Linked DNA regions of Saccharomyces cerevisiae S288C. Changing the gene in region 1 together with any one later gene gives a genetic interaction. Each region holds a gene or a part of one and is shown in the gene's direction. Other genes may lie near its edges.

Evidence for each region.
Region 2: mutations in SDH9 (region 1) and ALD3 together harm fitness more than expected from each alone (negative genetic interaction), as found in Saccharomyces cerevisiae (one large-scale study listed by BioGRID).
Region 3: mutations in SDH9 (region 1) and EGH1 together harm fitness more than expected from each alone (negative genetic interaction), as found in Saccharomyces cerevisiae (one large-scale study listed by BioGRID).
Region 4: mutations in SDH9 (region 1) and ERG24 together harm fitness less than expected from each alone (positive genetic interaction), as found in Saccharomyces cerevisiae (one large-scale study listed by BioGRID).

What each region holds. Positions count from the first base shown.
Region 1 is NC_001142.9:353,915-358,944, forward strand, and holds SDH9 (succinate dehydrogenase SDH9), read left to right. Parts: upstream 1-2,109; coding exon 2,110-4,014; downstream 4,015-5,030. Other genes in the region: GTPase-activating protein GYP6, read right to left, coding at 4,386-5,030. UniProt on the Saccharomyces cerevisiae protein: Probable minor catalytic subunit of succinate dehydrogenase (SDH) that is involved in complex II of the mitochondrial electron transport chain and is responsible for transferring electrons from succinate to ubiquinone (coenzyme Q).
Region 2 is NC_001145.3:598,449-603,294, reverse strand, and holds ALD3 (aldehyde dehydrogenase (NAD(+)) ALD3), read left to right. Parts: upstream 1-2,422; coding exon 2,423-3,943; downstream 3,944-4,846. Other genes in the region: aldehyde dehydrogenase (NAD(+)) ALD2, read left to right, coding at 213-1,733; CEP3 (Cep3p), read left to right, coding at 4,137-4,846. UniProt on the Saccharomyces cerevisiae protein: Cytoplasmic aldehyde dehydrogenase involved in ethanol oxidation. Involved in pantothenic acid production through the conversion of 3-aminopropanal to beta-alanine, an intermediate in pantothenic acid (vitamin B5) and coenzyme A (CoA) biosynthesis.
Region 3 is NC_001141.2:368,600-373,902, forward strand, and holds EGH1 (hydrolase), read left to right. Parts: upstream 1-2,104; coding exon 2,105-4,399; downstream 4,400-5,303. Other genes in the region: actin cytoskeleton-regulatory complex protein PAN1, read right to left, coding at 1-1,309; DNA primase subunit PRI1, read right to left, coding at 4,478-5,303. UniProt on the Saccharomyces cerevisiae protein: Ergosteryl beta-glucosidase involved in the ergosteryl beta-glucoside (EG) catabolic pathway and vacuole formation via hydrolysis of EG to generate glucose.
Region 4 is NC_001146.8:108,348-112,656, reverse strand, and holds ERG24 (delta(14)-sterol reductase), read left to right. Parts: upstream 1-2,245; coding exon 2,246-3,562; downstream 3,563-4,309. Other genes in the region: pheromone-regulated protein PRM1, read right to left, coding at 1-1,740; HCH1 (Hch1p), read right to left, coding at 3,729-4,190. UniProt on the Saccharomyces cerevisiae protein: Delta(14)-sterol reductase; part of the third module of ergosterol biosynthesis pathway that includes the late steps of the pathway. ERG24 reduces the C14=C15 double bond of 4,4-dimethyl-cholesta-8,14,24-trienol to produce 4,4-dimethyl-cholesta-8,24-dienol.

The sequences.
Region 1 (5,030 bases):
GAATTTCTTCCGCTCCAGAATAAAGTTCCTTTTCACTTCAAAAAACTGCCACCAGTAAAGTTGCACCAGTGGTTTTTGAGCATTTTTTGTCAATGTCGCTTAACCGTTCTTGAACTGTATCCTCTTGACGTCGATAAAATCATTTGTAAAAACCAGGCCAAATCATCATTGAATAATTTACACTGTGTCTTCAATGTCGCCATTTGGACCAATAATTATCAAACTGTTCACAATTCACTCAAAGTCCTTTCAGCAACATTCTTATGAAACAATACTTTCTTTGAATTTGTATGATGAAACAAAATTTTTTGGTTATTAATCATTTATCACTCTCGGTAGCCAAGTTGGTTTAAGGCGCAAGACTGTAATTTACCACTACGAAATCTTGAGATCGGGCGTTCGACTCGCCCCCGGGAGATTTTTTTAATGTGCTCTAAATAGAATGTGGATGAAATTTCTCTTGGCCGCCGTACCCTTCTTCATAATTAATAATTTCTTTCCATTTTGCAGGATTATATCTGATCAATAAGTGATTGTAAAGATTTTGTTTGTGAGAAATATGTGAATTTTTAATTTTGGTTATAACTTAATAATTGTTGGAATTCCATTTTTGATAAAGATGAAAATTGGTGAATTTTGAGATAATTGTTGGGATTCCATTGTTGATAAAGGCTATAATATTAGGTATACAGAATATACTAGAAGTTCTCCTCGAGGATCTAGGAATCCTCATAATGGAACCTATATTTCTATATACTAATATTCCGTTTTATTCCTTATTCCGTTTTATATGTTTCATTATCCTATTACATTATCAATCCTTGCACTTCAGCTTCCTCTAACTTCGATGACAGCTTCTCATAACTTATGCCATCATCTTAGCACCATATATGATAATATATTGGTAGTATGACTACTAGTTGATAGACTGAAGAGAATGTGGATTTTGATGTAATTGTTGGGATTCCATTTTTAATAAGGCAATAATATTAGGTATGTAGATATACTAGAAGTTCTCCTCGAGGATTTAGGAATCCATAAAAGGGAATCTGCAATTCTATACAATTCTATAAATATTATTATCATCATTTTATATGTTAATATTCATTGATCCTATTACATTATCAATCCTTGCGTTTCAGCTTCCACTAATTTAGATGACTATTTCTCATCATTTGCGTCATCTTCTAACACCGTATATGATAATATACTAGCAACGTAAATACTAGTTAGTAGATGATAGTTGATTTTTATTCCAACATAGACGATAGTTGATTTTTATTCCAACAGTGTTGACATATAAATACTAGTCAACTAAATGGTAATTGGTTATTATTCCTCAACATTCTGCTACCAAACGCAAATGTAGTAGGAGAGTTTAGATTTTCAACGTTGGTTTGCGAGATTGGTGAAATCAAAGCATAGTTTACCTTTAATCCCAATCTTCCAACAAACAGTAGCTCGCGTGGCGTAATGGCAACGCGTCTGACTTCTAATCAGAAGATTATGGGTTCGACCCCCATCGTGAGTGCTTTGTTTCTTCCGTGATAGTTTAATGGTCAGAATGGGCGCTTGTCGCGTGCCAGATCGGGGTTCAATTCCCCGTCGCGGAGATTTTTTTTGAAGCTGTTGTAGTTACTACTTTAAGATCCAGATTGATACAGTACGTATGTGAGGCAACAGATACTTGCAATATAACAAGTTTTGTGAAGAGATAGTGTGAATACCTATGGTTCCACGCAAGAAATCATCTATTTGAATTTTCGGCTTCTATAAGAATGACAAAACTCATAGGAAGCTGCAATGCATTAATTTTCCGTAAGCTTTATTAACCCGTTAGCCGCTCAAGTCGCTTTTCTCAGGTCGCGCTCCTCTTCTCCGGACTTATGTGGCTCCCTTTAGAATATAAGGGTCTTCCCTTTAACGGAACAGTAAGGTTCCACAAGGTGGCAAAAAAGGCAATCCAACCGACACTTCGGCAAATTTCTTTCACTCTAGTCAGAGCTAAGTTCTTATATATACTTTCTAAATAATTATCTGCTAAAATAAGAAAAGAAGGAGCCTAAATACGTATATCTATATACATGTATACACGTGAGCTAATAAATTATGTTATCTTTGAAAAAAGGAATAACAAAATCATACATCTTGCAAAGAACTTTCACTTCTTCCTCTGTTGTTCGTCAAATTGGGGAAGTGAAATCTGAATCGAAACCGCCGGCCAAATATCATATTATCGACCATGAATATGATTGTGTGGTGGTAGGCGCTGGCGGTGCAGGTTTAAGAGCAGCTTTCGGTTTGGCTGAAGCTGGATACAAGACTGCTTGTTTATCCAAGTTGTTTCCAACAAGGTCACATACTGTGGCTGCTCAGGGTGGAATTAATGCTGCGCTGGGAAATATGCATCCAGATGATTGGAAATCGCACATGTACGACACTGTCAAGGGTTCTGACTGGCTCGGAGACCAAGATGCAATCCATTACATGACAAGAGAAGCACCTAAGTCTGTCATTGAACTAGAACATTACGGTATGCCCTTTTCGAGGACTGAAGATGGAAGGATTTACCAGAGAGCATTTGGGGGACAATCCAAAGATTTTGGTAAAGGTGGACAGGCCTATAGGACTTGTGCGGTGGCAGATAGAACAGGTCACGCAATGCTTCATACATTGTATGGACAAGCGCTGAAAAATAATACACACTTCTTTATTGAATACTTTGCAATGGATTTGTTGACCCATAATGGCGAGGTTGTGGGTGTCATTGCCTATAATCAGGAGGACGGTACAATTCACAGATTCAGAGCACATAAGACCGTCATCGCGACAGGCGGATACGGTAGAGCTTACTTCTCTTGCACTTCTGCTCACACTTGTACAGGTGACGGTAATGCTATGGTTTCTCGCGCTGGATTTCCACTAGAGGATTTAGAATTTGTTCAATTTCATCCGTCAGGAATTTATGGGTCTGGCTGCCTAATCACTGAAGGTGCCCGTGGTGAGGGTGGATTTTTATTGAATTCTGAAGGAGAAAGGTTTATGGAACGCTATGCTCCTACTGCCAAGGACTTGGCAAGCAGGGATGTTGTTTCCAGAGCAATCACCATGGAAATCAGGGCTGGCAGAGGTGTCGGGAAAAACAAGGATCATATCCTTTTACAATTAAGCCATCTACCACCTGAGGTACTAAAGGAAAGGCTACCGGGAATATCTGAAACAGCTGCTGTCTTTGCGGGTGTCGATGTCACCCAGGAGCCAATTCCTGTCTTGCCAACTGTCCATTATAATATGGGAGGCATTCCCACAAAATGGACTGGTGAAGCATTGACCATTGACGAGGAAACTGGAGAGGATAAGGTCATCCCAGGATTGATGGCGTGTGGTGAAGCTGCTTGCGTATCGGTTCATGGAGCGAACAGATTAGGCGCTAACTCACTACTGGATTTAGTCGTTTTCGGTCGCGCCGTTGCAAATACCATTGCTGACACATTACAGCCTGGCTTGCCTCATAAGCCATTGGCTTCAAACATCGGGCACGAGTCAATTGCTAATTTGGATAAAGTAAGAAATGCTCGCGGCTCACTGAAAACCTCTCAAATCAGGTTGAACATGCAAAGGACAATGCAAAAAGATGTTTCTGTTTTCAGGACGCAAGACACTCTAGATGAAGGTGTTAGAAATATTACTGAAGTGGACAAGACATTTGAGGATGTGCACGTTTCTGATAAGTCAATGATCTGGAATTCTGATCTCGTAGAAACTCTGGAATTGCAAAATTTACTTACTTGTGCCACACAAACGGCTGTTTCTGCTTCCAAAAGAAAGGAGTCTCGTGGTGCTCATGCGAGAGAGGACTATGCAAAAAGAGATGATGTGAATTGGAGAAAGCACACATTATCATGGCAAAAGGGGACATCAACACCTGTAAAAATCAAGTACAGGAATGTAATCGCACATACTTTAGATGAGAATGAATGCGCCCCAGTCCCTCCAGCTGTCAGATCCTATTAATTCTTATTTATTTATTTATTTATTTTGGAGGGCAAACTTATTTATTGATCTGGCAAAAATGATCTTTCCCTTTTTTCTTATTTTTCTCTCTATCTCTCTCATTGATTCTTGGTCAATAGTACTCGTTTACTGTCAACTTACACCTTATCTATTATGCTATATAATTTTATGCAAGACATTGAAGTACAATATACGTCGAGCTGCAATATGCAAAAATATCAGAGGGAAACCAGCTCATTAGGAAATATGACATGTGGGCTATCTGTTTGTTGGTGGTAGCTGGGTTTTTTTTTTTTTTTTTTTGATTTTGTCGTGCGGGTGTGCAGGCTGGGATTTCAAACAAATAACAACGAGTAATTGACAAGAAAAACTTATTGGCTTATTTTCTTTTTGTTCTTCAAAATTGTTTGCCTTACCCTCTCCCTCAGTTTGTTTTCGAGTGATTGTCTATTAGGATCAATAGTCAACTTTGCTGTTTCCATACTTAAAACATCACTAGTCTTTATGCCGAACTTCGCATTTATAAAAGTGTCGCAAATCAATCTCATATCGTCGTAATTTTTTCCATACCACAATTCACATAAATTTCCAGTGACCTTACACAGGTCTAAAAACTTTTCATCATCTTTACTGGCATCTTCCTTTTCAAAAATTTTCTTGAAATGCAAAATCAATTCAACAAATTCATCGTTATTATTCGTATGTTCATAGTCACCTTGGCTCACTAGTTCGTGAAGCTCATCGTAAATGGATAACAAAAGGGTGATGATAGTGCATGCAATGAAAATATCCAAGGGATAATTGAACGTCAGGACGTGGTCCCAAACGATTAGCACATATTTTAAGGGTAATTCTCTTAAAAATAACAACCTTGTCCATCGGATGAGCCAGATTAGGTTGGAGTGAATCAGATGGTCTACGTTTTTTTTCTTCCCGCTGCCCGTTTTTGGTGGTTGGTAAAAAACCTTTGAAAACAAGTCTGGCAAACAAATCCTAAAGATTTTCGTGAATACTCT
Region 2 (4,846 bases), on another chromosome or scaffold:
TTTATTGGTTACTCCTATCCAATGATGAGTTTTTTTAACTCGTTTAAACATTAGGGATGCAATCTTGTCGACACTCACTGATCATATCCCGAATTTTGCTCAAGAATGTTCATATAAAGGGAGCGAATCCTTAAAAATACTTTTGGCCCATTCCTATCATTTTTACATTGCATGTCCATCAAAAACAATCGTGAAAATAAGCCAAAAGAAAAATGCCTACCTTGTATACTGATATCGAAATCCCACAATTGAAAATCTCTTTAAAGCAACCGCTAGGGTTGTTTATCAACAATGAGTTTTGTCCATCATCAGATGGAAAGACCATCGAAACTGTGAACCCAGCTACTGGCGAACCGATAACATCCTTCCAAGCAGCTAACGAAAAGGATGTAGACAAAGCTGTGAAAGCTGCCAGGGCTGCTTTTGATAACGTTTGGTCGAAGACATCTTCTGAGCAACGTGGTATTTATCTTTCAAACTTATTAAAACTTATTGAGGAGGAGCAAGACACACTTGCCGCATTAGAGACTTTAGACGCTGGAAAGCCTTACCATTCAAATGCCAAAGGTGATTTGGCACAAATTTTACAGCTTACCAGATATTTTGCTGGGTCCGCTGATAAGTTTGACAAAGGTGCAACCATACCATTGACTTTTAACAAGTTTGCATATACTCTAAAAGTTCCTTTTGGCGTTGTTGCTCAAATCGTTCCATGGAATTATCCTCTAGCTATGGCTTGTTGGAAATTGCAAGGTGCCTTAGCAGCCGGTAACACGGTTATCATCAAACCTGCTGAGAATACCTCTCTATCTCTACTTTATTTTGCTACTTTAATTAAAAAAGCAGGTTTTCCACCTGGTGTTGTCAATATCGTTCCTGGTTATGGATCACTTGTAGGCCAAGCCCTAGCATCTCACATGGATATCGACAAAATATCTTTTACGGGAAGCACCAAGGTCGGTGGATTTGTGTTGGAAGCTTCCGGCCAATCGAACCTTAAAGACGTTACACTAGAATGCGGTGGTAAGTCTCCTGCTCTCGTATTTGAAGATGCAGACCTTGATAAGGCTATCGATTGGATAGCAGCTGGCATTTTCTACAATTCAGGACAGAATTGTACCGCAAACTCAAGAGTTTATGTTCAAAGTTCGATCTACGACAAGTTTGTTGAAAAGTTTAAAGAAACTGCAAAGAAGGAGTGGGATGTTGCAGGAAAATTTGATCCGTTTGATGAGAAATGCATCGTTGGTCCAGTTATATCAAGTACACAGTATGACCGCATCAAAAGTTACATAGAACGTGGTAAAAGGGAGGAAAAGTTGGACATGTTCCAGACCTCTGAATTTCCTATTGGTGGAGCTAAAGGCTACTTCATTCCCCCAACCATCTTCACTGATGTCCCGCAAACATCGAAACTGTTACAGGATGAGATATTTGGCCCGGTTGTGGTTGTTAGCAAGTTCACAAATTATGATGACGCTCTGAAGCTGGCTAATGATACTTGCTACGGGCTCGCCTCTGCGGTCTTCACAAAAGATGTCAAGAAAGCGCACATGTTTGCTCGCGATATTAAAGCAGGAACTGTTTGGATCAACTCATCTAACGATGAAGATGTTACCGTTCCTTTTGGCGGGTTTAAAATGAGTGGTATTGGTAGAGAACTGGGGCAAAGTGGTGTTGATACCTATCTTCAAACAAAAGCAGTTCACATAAATCTCTCTTTGGACAACTAATGTGATAGTTATCATTATGTAAGTGCGTAAGTACCTAAATAGCTTAGCCTGACGACGGATGAATATGTTGACAGTCTAGCAAACAGTAGTAGTCCACTACTCGATATAAAACTGTAAGCACCATTATTTCAGCATGCGGAACAATTGTTGTTACTAGGTCCTAGAAATCCCTTAAGATGGTAAAAAAATAGAGCTATAAACTCAGTGAGATTTATTTTTGTGTCAAGAAATTATACTTGCGTGTTAGTTTTCTCTATTCCCACCATTACGTAGATCTTCCGTCTTTTTTTTTTCTTTTTCTGCATATGACGTCTGTTCTTCCTTCCCCCCCTGGAGTACAAGGAAAGTATCACTATTAGAACTCTACAGTACCTTTCTTCCACGCCCTTTAGTGCATTTAGGGATTTTCATTACTGCTAATCCAAGACTTGAACCGGATTGTTGATCAGCCCCCTTCTTAAGCTGATTGCTAAACTCCCTAAGGGTTAAGGAATTAGTAAGTTTAGGGAGGAGACAGGGAGATTGTTCAAACGAATAGCGTAGATTTAACTGATCATACCTCAGAAACTAATTGTATAAAATGGCAAATCTGGATGGGAATAAATTTGACTCATGCCAGGTAATTATACCTTGGACTTGTATCATAGAGATATAGATTATACACATTTAGAAAATTAGCCAAAAGAAAAATGCCTACCTTGTATACTGATATCGAAATCCCACAATTGAAAATCTCTTTAAAGCAACCGCTAGGGTTGTTTATCAACAATGAGTTTTGTCCATCATCAGATGGAAAGACCATCGAAACTGTGAACCCAGCTACTGGCGAACCGATAACATCCTTCCAAGCAGCTAACGAAAAGGATGTAGACAAAGCTGTGAAAGCTGCCAGGGCTGCTTTTGATAACGTTTGGTCGAAGACATCTTCTGAGCAACGTGGTATTTATCTTTCAAACTTATTAAAACTTATTGAGGAGGAGCAAGACACACTTGCCGCATTAGAGACTTTAGACGCTGGTAAGCCTTTCCATTCCAATGCTAAACAAGACTTAGCCCAGATTATAGAACTTACAAGATACTATGCGGGGGCGGTCGACAAGTTCAATATGGGTGAAACCATTCCATTGACTTTTAACAAGTTTGCATATACTCTAAAAGTTCCTTTTGGCGTTGTTGCTCAAATCGTTCCATGGAATTATCCTCTAGCTATGGCTTGTAGAAAAATGCAAGGTGCCTTAGCGGCCGGTAACACGGTTATCATCAAACCTGCTGAAAATACCTCTCTATCTCTACTTTATTTTGCTACTTTAATTAAAAAAGCAGGTTTTCCACCTGGTGTTGTCAATGTCATTCCTGGTTATGGTTCCGTTGTGGGGAAAGCTTTAGGAACCCACATGGATATCGACAAAATATCTTTTACGGGAAGTACTAAGGTTGGCGGCTCAGTATTGGAAGCTTCCGGCCAATCGAACCTTAAGGATATCACACTAGAATGCGGTGGTAAGTCTCCTGCTCTTGTATTTGAAGATGCAGACCTTGATAAGGCTATAGAATGGGTAGCAAATGGTATTTTTTTTAATTCGGGACAGATCTGCACTGCAAACTCAAGAGTTTATGTTCAAAGTTCGATCTACGACAAGTTTGTTGAAAAGTTTAAAGAAACTGCAAAGAAGGAGTGGGATGTTGCAGGAAAATTTGATCCGTTTGATGAGAAATGCATCGTTGGTCCAGTTATATCAAGTACACAGTATGACCGCATCAAAAGTTACATAGAACGTGGTAAAAAGGAGGAAAAGTTGGACATGTTCCAGACCTCTGAATTTCCTATTGGTGGAGCTAAAGGCTACTTCATTCCCCCAACCATCTTCACTGATGTACCAGAAACATCTAAGTTGCTGCGTGATGAAATATTTGGCCCGGTTGTGGTTGTTAGCAAGTTCACAAATTATGATGACGCTCTGAAGCTGGCTAATGATACTTGCTACGGGCTCGCCTCTGCGGTCTTCACCAAAGATGTCAAGAAAGCGCACATGTTTGCTCGCGATATTAAAGCAGGAACTGTTTGGATCAATCAAACCAATCAAGAAGAAGCTAAAGTTCCTTTTGGCGGATTTAAGATGAGTGGTATTGGTAGAGAATCAGGCGACACCGGCGTTGATAACTATTTACAAATAAAATCAGTCCATGTGGATCTTTCATTGGATAAATAATTCGTTACATAGTTATATAAATGTTTACATGAGATTCAAAGCTTCATATTCTATGAAATCTTTATTTTTTACGGCTTTAAATGAAGTGCGCGCAGCCATGTAAGCTAAGCGTAAGAGAATGAAATATTATAACCAACCTTCAGAGAGCAGGTGATGACAAAAGTTACGAACACGAGTTTGCATCCTAATAATAATGTTTAACCGTACCACTCAACTGAAATCCAAGCATCCCTGTTCCGTGTGTACGAGGCGAAAAGTCAAATGTGATCGTATGATACCGTGTGGAAACTGCAGGAAGAGAGGACAGGACTCCGAATGTATGAAATCAACAAAACTAATAACGGCTTCATCTTCCAAGGAATATCTCCCTGACCTATTGTTATTCTGGCAAAATTATGAATATTGGATAACGAATATTGGGCTGTACAAAACAAAACAAAGAGATCTTACTAGAACACCAGCTAATTTGGATACTGATACTGAAGAATGTATGTTTTGGATGAATTATCTTCAAAAAGACCAATCATTCCAATTGATGAACTTTGCTATGGAAAACTTAGGTGCTTTGTATTTTGGTTCCATTGGAGATATCAGTGAATTATATTTGAGGGTGGAACAGTACTGGGATAGAAGGGCAGACAAGAATCACAGTGTAGACGGCAAATACTGGGACGCACTAATATGGTCTGTCTTTACCATGTGCATTTATTATATGCCAGTCGAGAAGTTAGCAGAAATATTTTCAGTATATCCTCTCCATGAATATTTGGGTAGCAACAAAAGGCTCAATTGGGAAGATGGTATGCAATTAGTCATGTGCCAAAATTTTGCACGCTGCTCATTATTCCAATTGAAACAATGTGATTTCATGGCGCATCCCGATATAAGGCTCGTTCAAGCATA
Region 3 (5,303 bases), on another chromosome or scaffold:
TGAAAGTGGTTGGTGCCATAAATCCTGTGGATTGAGGATTCAACGCCGAGGCAACACCGCCTCCAGTAATTTGAGACTGTAATGGGATACCAAAACTAGTTTGAGGCATATATCCTGTTGGTTGAGGTTGCAAATTTTGTACGCCCGCTGTAATGAATTCATCAAAGGGAGTTTTTGGGGCATCGTTTGCGGAAGAATCCTGGTTTGCAATGCTTAAATTAATGGCGTCAATAAAACTTGAAACTTCGTTTTTTGTCTTAGAATCCAATTCGTAAGGGATAGTGTCACCTTGTAAGACATCATTGATCAAATGCATTGCTAATGCAAATTCAGGAAACAGTAACTCACCTGCTTTTGATGTATCACAAAGCGTCCAAATTCTTGCGAGTTGAGAAGGTGGCAAACCGGATCTCATCAAAATTTTCCTACAATTAGCACCGGAAACAGTATTCGAACCATTGGTAACAATTGATCTGAATAGAGTCTCAAATTTTGCCTGATCTTGGGCAGTAATAAACGACAATCTAATGGCAGGGATTTTGATATCATTGTTTAGACCGTTGTTGGCAAATGAGTTGACAAAGCCAGTTGCGGTGGGCTTTAATGGTTCTAAGGGAGCTTGGTTTTGCGGTTGAAGGTAAAATCCTGTTTGCTGCGGCTTCAAAGGTTGCAAGGACTGTGCTTGCTGAGGAGGTGGCACCTGTTGAGGTTGAGATTGATAATAACCAGTGCCCTGGGCCTGAAGGGGCTGCTGGGTTTGATTAGAAGAGATCAAATTGGGTGTAGACACATAATATCCTGTCCCTTGAGATTGCAAAGGTTGTACTGAGTGTACATTTGCAGTATTAGCAGCTTGGTAATAGCCTGTTCCTTGGGGTTGTATGGATTGTAGCTGAGGCTGTTGAGCCGGATTAGGTGGAGGCATGGTGCCAGTAGTATTCATCATAGGCATACTGGAATTTGGTACGTATCCCGTATGCTGCGGTTTCGCCTGCTGTTGTTGCTGCTGGGGTTGTTGGCCAAAATTACCATTACCATATACACTACCATTATTTCCATTATTATTGTAACCCGTTTGGGGCTGCTGTGGCATACTTGAGAAAGAATTACCAAAACTTTGAGGCATCCCACCAATTCCGGTAGCCTGAGGCTGGTTAAACGCCATTTGCTGTTGTGGTTGAGGCTGGCCTTGGGGCTGGTTTGAAGACTGACCTTGCTGCTGCTGCGGGTAGAATCCATTTGGTTGTTGCTGCTGTTGCTGCTGTTGCTGCTGGTAACCCATGCCCTGTTGCTGGTACGGGTTATACATATTCAGTTGTACAGATTAGCAATTTCGCGTCGCTGATAGATTCTTCCTCTTCCTGCTTCTCGACGTGTGTTTCGCCAATAGATCTATATGGCTTTCTAATGCTTTTTTTCTTCCAATACCAACTTTTGCCCCTAACAAGAAAAAAATATCGTCGACGTGTCATGTGATCAAGCCAATTTATAATAACAAGCGATTGATAAACAGAGTATACATAGCTACTATGCGACTGAGAGATCAATCGGTTATCGTGAGCACCTACCTTTAAGGTTTAACAGATCTGGACGTGATTTTTTTTTTTTTTTTTTGACGAACCAGATTGTCAAATAAACATTGTTAATTGATGAATTTTTAATATCTGCCCAATTGAAGCATAAAAAGCGTCTTAGGAAAGCATTCGTTAAATATCTCTACTGTTGGTAAGCAGGTACTTCAGTAAAAAACCATATTAAACCCAAAATTATCAAATTAGTAGTACATAAGATCGAAGTAGAAAAAATATAGATTATAATCCGATATAGTGTAACGGCTATCACATCACGCTTTCACCGTGGAGACCGGGGTTCGACTCCCCGTATCGGAGTATGTTTATTTTATTTTTTTCATATCCGCTCGAATATTGCCTTCGTTTAAGGTTTCTATATCTCTGGTAAACCTTAACAATGGAATTAATATTAATTCTATATTTCGCAATAATTCTACTGACAGTTATTTTCTTAACCTTTCTTCTCTTTTTTTATTTATTTATTTCTTTTTCTTTCGTACCTAAATTGTTTGAATTTAATAAGAACAGATCATATGCCTGCCAAAATACACATTTCTGCAGACGGTCAGTTTTGCGATAAAGATGGCAACGAGATCCAATTGCGTGGTGTCAATTTGGATCCGTCAGTTAAAATCCCTGCAAAGCCATTCCTATCCACCCACGCTCCCATAGAAAATGACACGTTTTTCGAGGATGCTGATAAAGTCAGTTTCATCAATCACCCCTTAGTTCTTGATGATATCGAACAGCATATCATCAGATTGAAATCACTGGGTTACAATACCATTCGTTTACCCTTCACCTGGGAATCTCTTGAACATGCTGGTCCAGGACAGTACGATTTTGACTATATGGATTATATCGTCGAGGTACTAACCAGGATTAACAGCGTACAACAAGGTATGTACATTTATTTGGACCCTCACCAAGACGTCTGGTCTAGGTTTAGCGGTGGATCTGGAGCACCGCTATGGACCTTATACTGTGCAGGGTTTCAACCTGCAAACTTCCTGGCCACCGATGCTGCAATCTTACATAATTATTATATTGACCCCAAAACGGGCAGGGAAGTTGGCAAAGATGAAGAGTCCTACCCTAAGATGGTTTGGCCTACAAACTACTTCAAACTGGCGTGTCAAACAATGTTTACGTTATTCTTTGGTGGGAAACAATATGCTCCTAAGTGCACAATTAATGGAGAAAACATACAGGATTACTTGCAAGGAAGGTTTAATGATGCAATCATGACACTGTGCGCAAGAATTAAAGAAAAGGCTCCTGAGTTGTTTGAGAGCAACTGCATTATTGGATTAGAGTCTATGAACGAGCCAAACTGTGGTTACATTGGTGAAACAAATCTCGATGTGATTCCGAAAGAGAGAAATTTGAAATTGGGCAAAACGCCAACGGCATTTCAAAGCTTTATGCTGGGTGAAGGTATTGAGTGCACAATAGATCAATATAAAAGGACATTTTTTGGATTTTCTAAGGGAAAACCGTGCACAATCAATCCCAAAGGCAAAAAAGCTTGGCTGAGTGCAGAGGAAAGAGATGCGATAGATGCGAAGTATAATTGGGAAAGGAACCCTGAATGGAAACCAGACACTTGCATTTGGAAACTCCATGGTGTTTGGGAGATTCAGAATGGTAAACGCCCTGTTTTACTCAAACCAAATTACTTTAGCCAACCTGATGCAACGGTATTTATAAACAATCATTTTGTTGACTATTACACTGGAATTTATAACAAGTTTAGGGAATTCGATCAAGAATTGTTTATTATAATCCAACCGCCGGTAATGAAGCCACCACCCAATTTACAAAATTCTAAAATATTGGACAATAGGACGATTTGTGCATGTCATTTTTATGATGGTATGACACTAATGTATAAGACATGGAATAAACGAATTGGCATAGACACCTATGGACTAGTAAACAAAAAATACTCAAATCCTGCCTTTGCTGTAGTGCTTGGCGAAAACAATATACGGAAATGCATTAGGAAGCAATTATCAGAAATGCAAAAGGACGCTAAATCCATGCTTGGAAAAAAAGTACCTGTATTCTTCACCGAAATTGGTATTCCATTTGACATGGACGACAAGAAAGCATATATTACAAATGACTATTCTTCACAGACCGCTGCATTGGATGCTCTTGGATTTGCATTAGAAGGAAGTAATCTTTCGTACACCTTATGGTGTTATTGCAGTATTAATTCACATATATGGGGTGACAATTGGAACAATGAAGATTTTTCGATTTGGTCCCCGGATGACAAACCACTCTATCACGATACCCGAGCAAAAACTCCTACTCCTGAGCCATCTCCAGCCTCTACTGTGGCTTCGGTATCCACTTCTACATCTAAATCGGGTTCTTCACAACCACCAAGTTTCATAAAACCAGATAATCATTTAGATTTGGATAGTCCCTCGTGCACTTTAAAGAGCGACTTGTCAGGGTTCAGAGCTCTTGATGCTATAATGAGACCATTCCCCATACAAATTCACGGAAGATTTGAGTTTGCTGAGTTTAACTTATGTAATAAATCCTACCTTTTGAAATTAGTTGGTAAAACGACACCTGAACAGATAACTGTCCCTACATATATTTTTATACCACGGCACCATTTTACACCAAGCCGGTTGTCAATTCGTTCATCATCAGGTCATTATACCTATAACACTGACTACCAGGTTCTTGAATGGTTTCACGAGCCTGGCCATCAGTTCATTGAAATTTGCGCAAAATCGAAGTCAAGGCCCAACACCCCTGGAAGTGACACTTCGAATGACTTACCAGCGGAATGCGTTATCAGCTAAACAAAAATTGAACCAAAAGCTATAGTAGTCATATATATATATATACACCCTTTTTATTGTTACAAAAAGATTTCACCATCAGAAATCTAAAGAAGCCGGTTCATCATCATCTTCACGTTCTCTTTTCACTGAACCCAGTTCATTTTTCAAAAGAGAACTCACATATGCTTGGAACTGATTGATAAAAGGTTGTAAAGCTGTTAATGAAACATCATTATTTTTCTCCATTTCTGTTTGAAGATCAATTAGCTTAGGTGCTTTTTCAGGTGCAAAGGATTCATCAATAGGCACACAGACATTCCCCGTAGCAGGATGAATACAAAAAGGGGCCTTTAACAAATGAATTGTTTGCTTTGTAACTTCCACATCCAGCTTCGGATAAAGAGTCATCAATACGAGATCTTCCTTACATTCACGTAACTTAATTATGTGAGAGTCTTGCTTGGGGCCTTTGAAGAGCGATGTAGCTATCTGATCTATATCATTCCACTTCTCTTTGCTTGACCTCCTTGGATTGTCCAGCCAATACTTCTTTAATGAATCAATCAATTGTTTATCATATAATGCAGGCAATAAAGTTTGGATAGCATGTTGGTCATCTTCCCAAGGATTTTGCTCTTCGAGCATAATGCTGACAAAGAAAGGTTTCAATTGCTCCAAAGAACGAGCAAGATGAGGGTGATAAGGCCTCTTCAAAGCCAATCGCTTGTCAGTATTTCTGTCTCTAATCACGTTGACATAATCTAAAACGTTTCTTCGTTGTACATCCGTCAAAGCCCGTGCCCGTTTGTCGCTTACCCAACAATGAGCACCACGTCTACCTGAAAATACCCAGATGAAGTCCTTATAACCAAAATCCTCTCTTAGGGCCGTGTTCGTAATTTTCATTGCCAAAGATATAAAT
Region 4 (4,309 bases), on another chromosome or scaffold:
AGCTTGCTTGATTTGTGTCCCATTAATTCTCGGGATATGCAGCTGAGCCTTGTCGTGAATCCACGTCATTGCCTTCTCTATTGTGTAGAGCTTATTTTCAATGGCACATCCGACCACGGTTTTCATTGGGTTATATAGCAGTGTTCCATTGAATACATCTGCTAAAGTTGTGTCTATATCAGAGATCATGGTGGCCACTGTATTGTTCACAGAAAGTGTTGTCGTGTTTATCCACCCGAATACTTCCTGATTGATATTGGTCTCCGTAGTATTTATATATTTATTAGTCTGAACGCTCCAAAGGCTCATTTGGTTCTCTATATCGACGGCAGTGCTAGACTTCAGCAAATTTTGAACGCCGTCACCATCATTAGAAGTCAATGAATGGCTTATCTTGTGTTTTAACAGTGCTATCATGACAAATTGGCATATGCACACTAAAATTCCCAAAAGTCCAATTCCAAGAACACACAGTGCTCTTTCGGAGGTCATATAAGCCACTACCCATTCTATTTTTTGTTTAGTCTTTGGGTCAATGTTCTCTGGTGATTTTCCAAAGGTAACAAGATTTGTCATCCAGCCTGCTATTCTTGTGTTCCATGTTTGAAAGCACTGCTGATAGCTTGCAATGACATCATATTGGCCATTTTGTATAGGAGGATCTCTAAATGGATCTTTCAATTCGTGCGTGTTTTCACTGGAAAAGGACGTATACGAATCTTGCCTGCTCAGCATGTAATGGTCTCTCATTCCGCAAAGGCGCCTCCAGAGCTTGATTTCATTCCATGCAACGGGCGCCATCGCACCAACAGCGAAGCATATCAATACGGTAATGCACACTACGGTGGCTATTTTCAGGACATGTCCCAAGATGGAATAAAAGGCCAAAATTTCTGATTGATTGGATGAGCAAATCCCAGTACTGTTGTCAAGGGACACGGGAGGTACGTACAAAACGGAGGTATCTCCGATTATATTGCTGGCATTCACGGCCTTGATATTCTTCCGAACTTCATTGAAGGGAACCGAGATCAGGTTCTTGGTTGTATTCTTAACCTGGGCAAAGTCCGGCGTCTTTGCCGATAACTCTTCAAGCTTATCGTTGATTGAGGAAGGAATGTATAAATTGTGAAGCGCAGATATGGTTAAGTTGACGCTTTTGATTGACGACGTCATGTTACTGTCATCGTCATCACCTGTGAAAAAATTCTCTACTTTGGATGCGGCCTTGATCACTTTATTGATTATTTTGGAGATGTCATTCAAGCCCGTATCCAATTCATTAGCCACACTTGAAACTGTATCATTGACTAAGCTAATCAGTTTTTCTGTAATGTTAGTAGCAACGTCCACGGTACCATCAACGGCACTAACAATCAAACAGGCATAAGTGCCCAAATACAGGTCAATGGCAAAGTTTACCAGCCCCTCGCTCGCATATACTATAAGTGATAACGTCTCTAGCGTAGCTTTAACAGTCTCCTCCATACCCTTCTCGATAAGATAATTCCCCATGATACCTAAATAGTGCGGCGTGTTGTCTGTCATCTTGGAGTATAGTGAATCAATACTGTAACAATTGGACAAAATATACGTTTCCGAGACTTCTATCGCATGTTGTATGGATTTGGAGAAAAACAGAAGCTTCAGCATTGCTAGCAGCAAAACCAAAGTATACTTATTTAGCCATATTTGAGAGAGCCTGTCACCCAATTGCAAATAGCATTTAAAACCGCTCATATCATCAACGTTCACAAATTCGAAAGGGAATCATCCTAACCAAATATTTCGGGATTATCTTAAGGACTTATGTTGGTCACATTCGTCATATATATATACCTCTTGCCAGCAACAGGCCAGTTATAAGTTAAAATTAATATGTGACGCACTTCTGAAACAGTATTGAAACAGTATTGAAACATATGTATTACCCGGACTCTGCATGCTCTGTCGTTCATTTTATTTTCACCTAAACGAAAATCCCGTGAAAAAAATTTATATCGCCTTTCGCTCTTTTGTATGTAGGCATCATCGGAAATTTGCATTGTGTGAAGGTTGTGCATATAAAGGGTTTTGCATAACGGACGTTTTTCACGTACTCCGTCTGAGCATCAAGTGAGGCTTGAGTTTACGTTTGTTTTTAATAATCAGTTTTCATTCTACTATTTTCTTGCGCAATTGCTTATCAGATAGACCTTGTAAACAGCATAGGAGTAAAGACAAATTCGGTGTAGAGAATAAAAGGATGGTATCAGCTTTGAATCCCAGAACTACAGAGTTTGAATTTGGTGGGCTGATTGGTGCCTTAGGCATCAGCATAGGGCTGCCTGTTTTCACTATCATCTTGAATCAAATGATAAGGCCCGATTATTTTATTAAGGGATTTTTCCAGAATTTCGATATAGTTGAGCTTTGGAACGGTATCAAGCCATTGCGCTACTATCTGGGCAATCGTGAATTATGGACTGTCTATTGCCTGTGGTATGGAATACTGGCAGTTTTGGACGTCATTTTACCGGGCAGAGTCATGAAGGGTGTTCAGTTAAGGGATGGTTCGAAGCTTTCGTATAAGATCAATGGAATTGCCATGTCTACAACTTTGGTCTTAGTTTTGGCTATCAGATGGAAATTGACTGATGGACAATTGCCTGAATTGCAATATCTGTATGAAAATCACGTTAGTTTATGCATAATATCTATTTTGTTTTCGTTCTTTTTGGCGACGTACTGCTATGTTGCCAGCTTCATACCATTGATCTTCAAGAAAAATGGTAATGGCAAAAGGGAAAAGATCTTAGCACTAGGTGGAAATTCAGGAAACATCATTTACGATTGGTTTATTGGTAGAGAACTGAACCCTCGTCTCGGCCCATTAGATATCAAGATGTTTTCAGAGTTGAGACCCGGCATGTTGTTATGGTTACTGATCAATCTTTCCTGTCTGCATCACCATTACCTGAAGACTGGTAAAATCAACGATGCATTGGTCTTGGTTAATTTCTTGCAAGGATTTTACATTTTCGATGGAGTACTAAACGAGGAAGGTGTATTAACCATGATGGATATCACTACAGATGGGTTTGGTTTCATGCTAGCGTTTGGTGACTTAAGTTTAGTTCCATTCACCTACTCATTACAAGCGCGTTACTTGAGTGTTTCCCCTGTGGAATTGGGATGGGTGAAAGTTGTCGGTATATTAGCCATAATGTTTTTGGGTTTCCACATCTTCCACTCGGCAAATAAGCAAAAATCTGAGTTTAGACAAGGTAAATTAGAAAATCTAAAAAGTATTCAGACAAAGCGTGGTACAAAGTTATTATGTGACGGGTGGTGGGCTAAATCACAGCATATCAATTACTTTGGCGATTGGCTGATTTCATTAAGTTGGTGTTTGGCCACCTGGTTCCAAACTCCCTTGACATATTACTACTCGTTGTACTTCGCCACGTTGTTATTACACCGTCAACAACGTGATGAGCACAAGTGCCGCCTGAAATATGGCGAAAATTGGGAAGAATACGAAAGAAAAGTTCCTTACAAGATCATTCCATATGTTTATTAAGTTTTTCTACCACTGCTATTTTCTTCATTATCTATGTATGTGTGTATACATGTTATGTATTGGGTGAGTATGAGGAAGAAGAAGAATAACAATTGAAAACGCTGGAAAAATTAAAAGGGGCGGTGGTCTATCTATGCAACGCTCCCCTTTTCGTTACATGAACACATCAAACTTGTATATCCTTTGAGTGTTCTTTAATCAAGTCATCTTGGTATTTTAGTAGCGTTTCCACTACTTTAGGGACAAATTCAGACCTAACCAATCCATCAAAAGCATCAAACCCTTGCGACAAAATCGGAATATCAGACTCGTCATGCATAAACTCTGGAATTTCTAGTTTCCCGTCCGCAAGTATGCCGTCATCATCCTCGTCGTCCTTATTAGTATCCAAATTTGTCACTTTGACGTTCATCGACAACTGTAAGTCAAAGTAGCAAATCGGCTTGCCCTTCCTTTGAGATACGTTGGAGTCACCGGTGATGCTACTCACCTGGGTTAACTCAATTTTGCTCTTCCCATCAGAGGAAACAGTGGACAAACTCGTTAATTTACCGTTCAAGTAGTCCTTAGACCAAGGTAAGGTGTTTTTATCCACCCAATGCCAGTTATTTGGATTCAAGACAACCATATTTTATCGTAAATGTGTTGTAACTTTCCGATCGTTTCAAACTTTAGTAGTAGTTTGATGATTTTGTCCAAAAAGTATTTGCTTAAATTTCAGCTTTTTTCTTCTTCATATGTATTTCT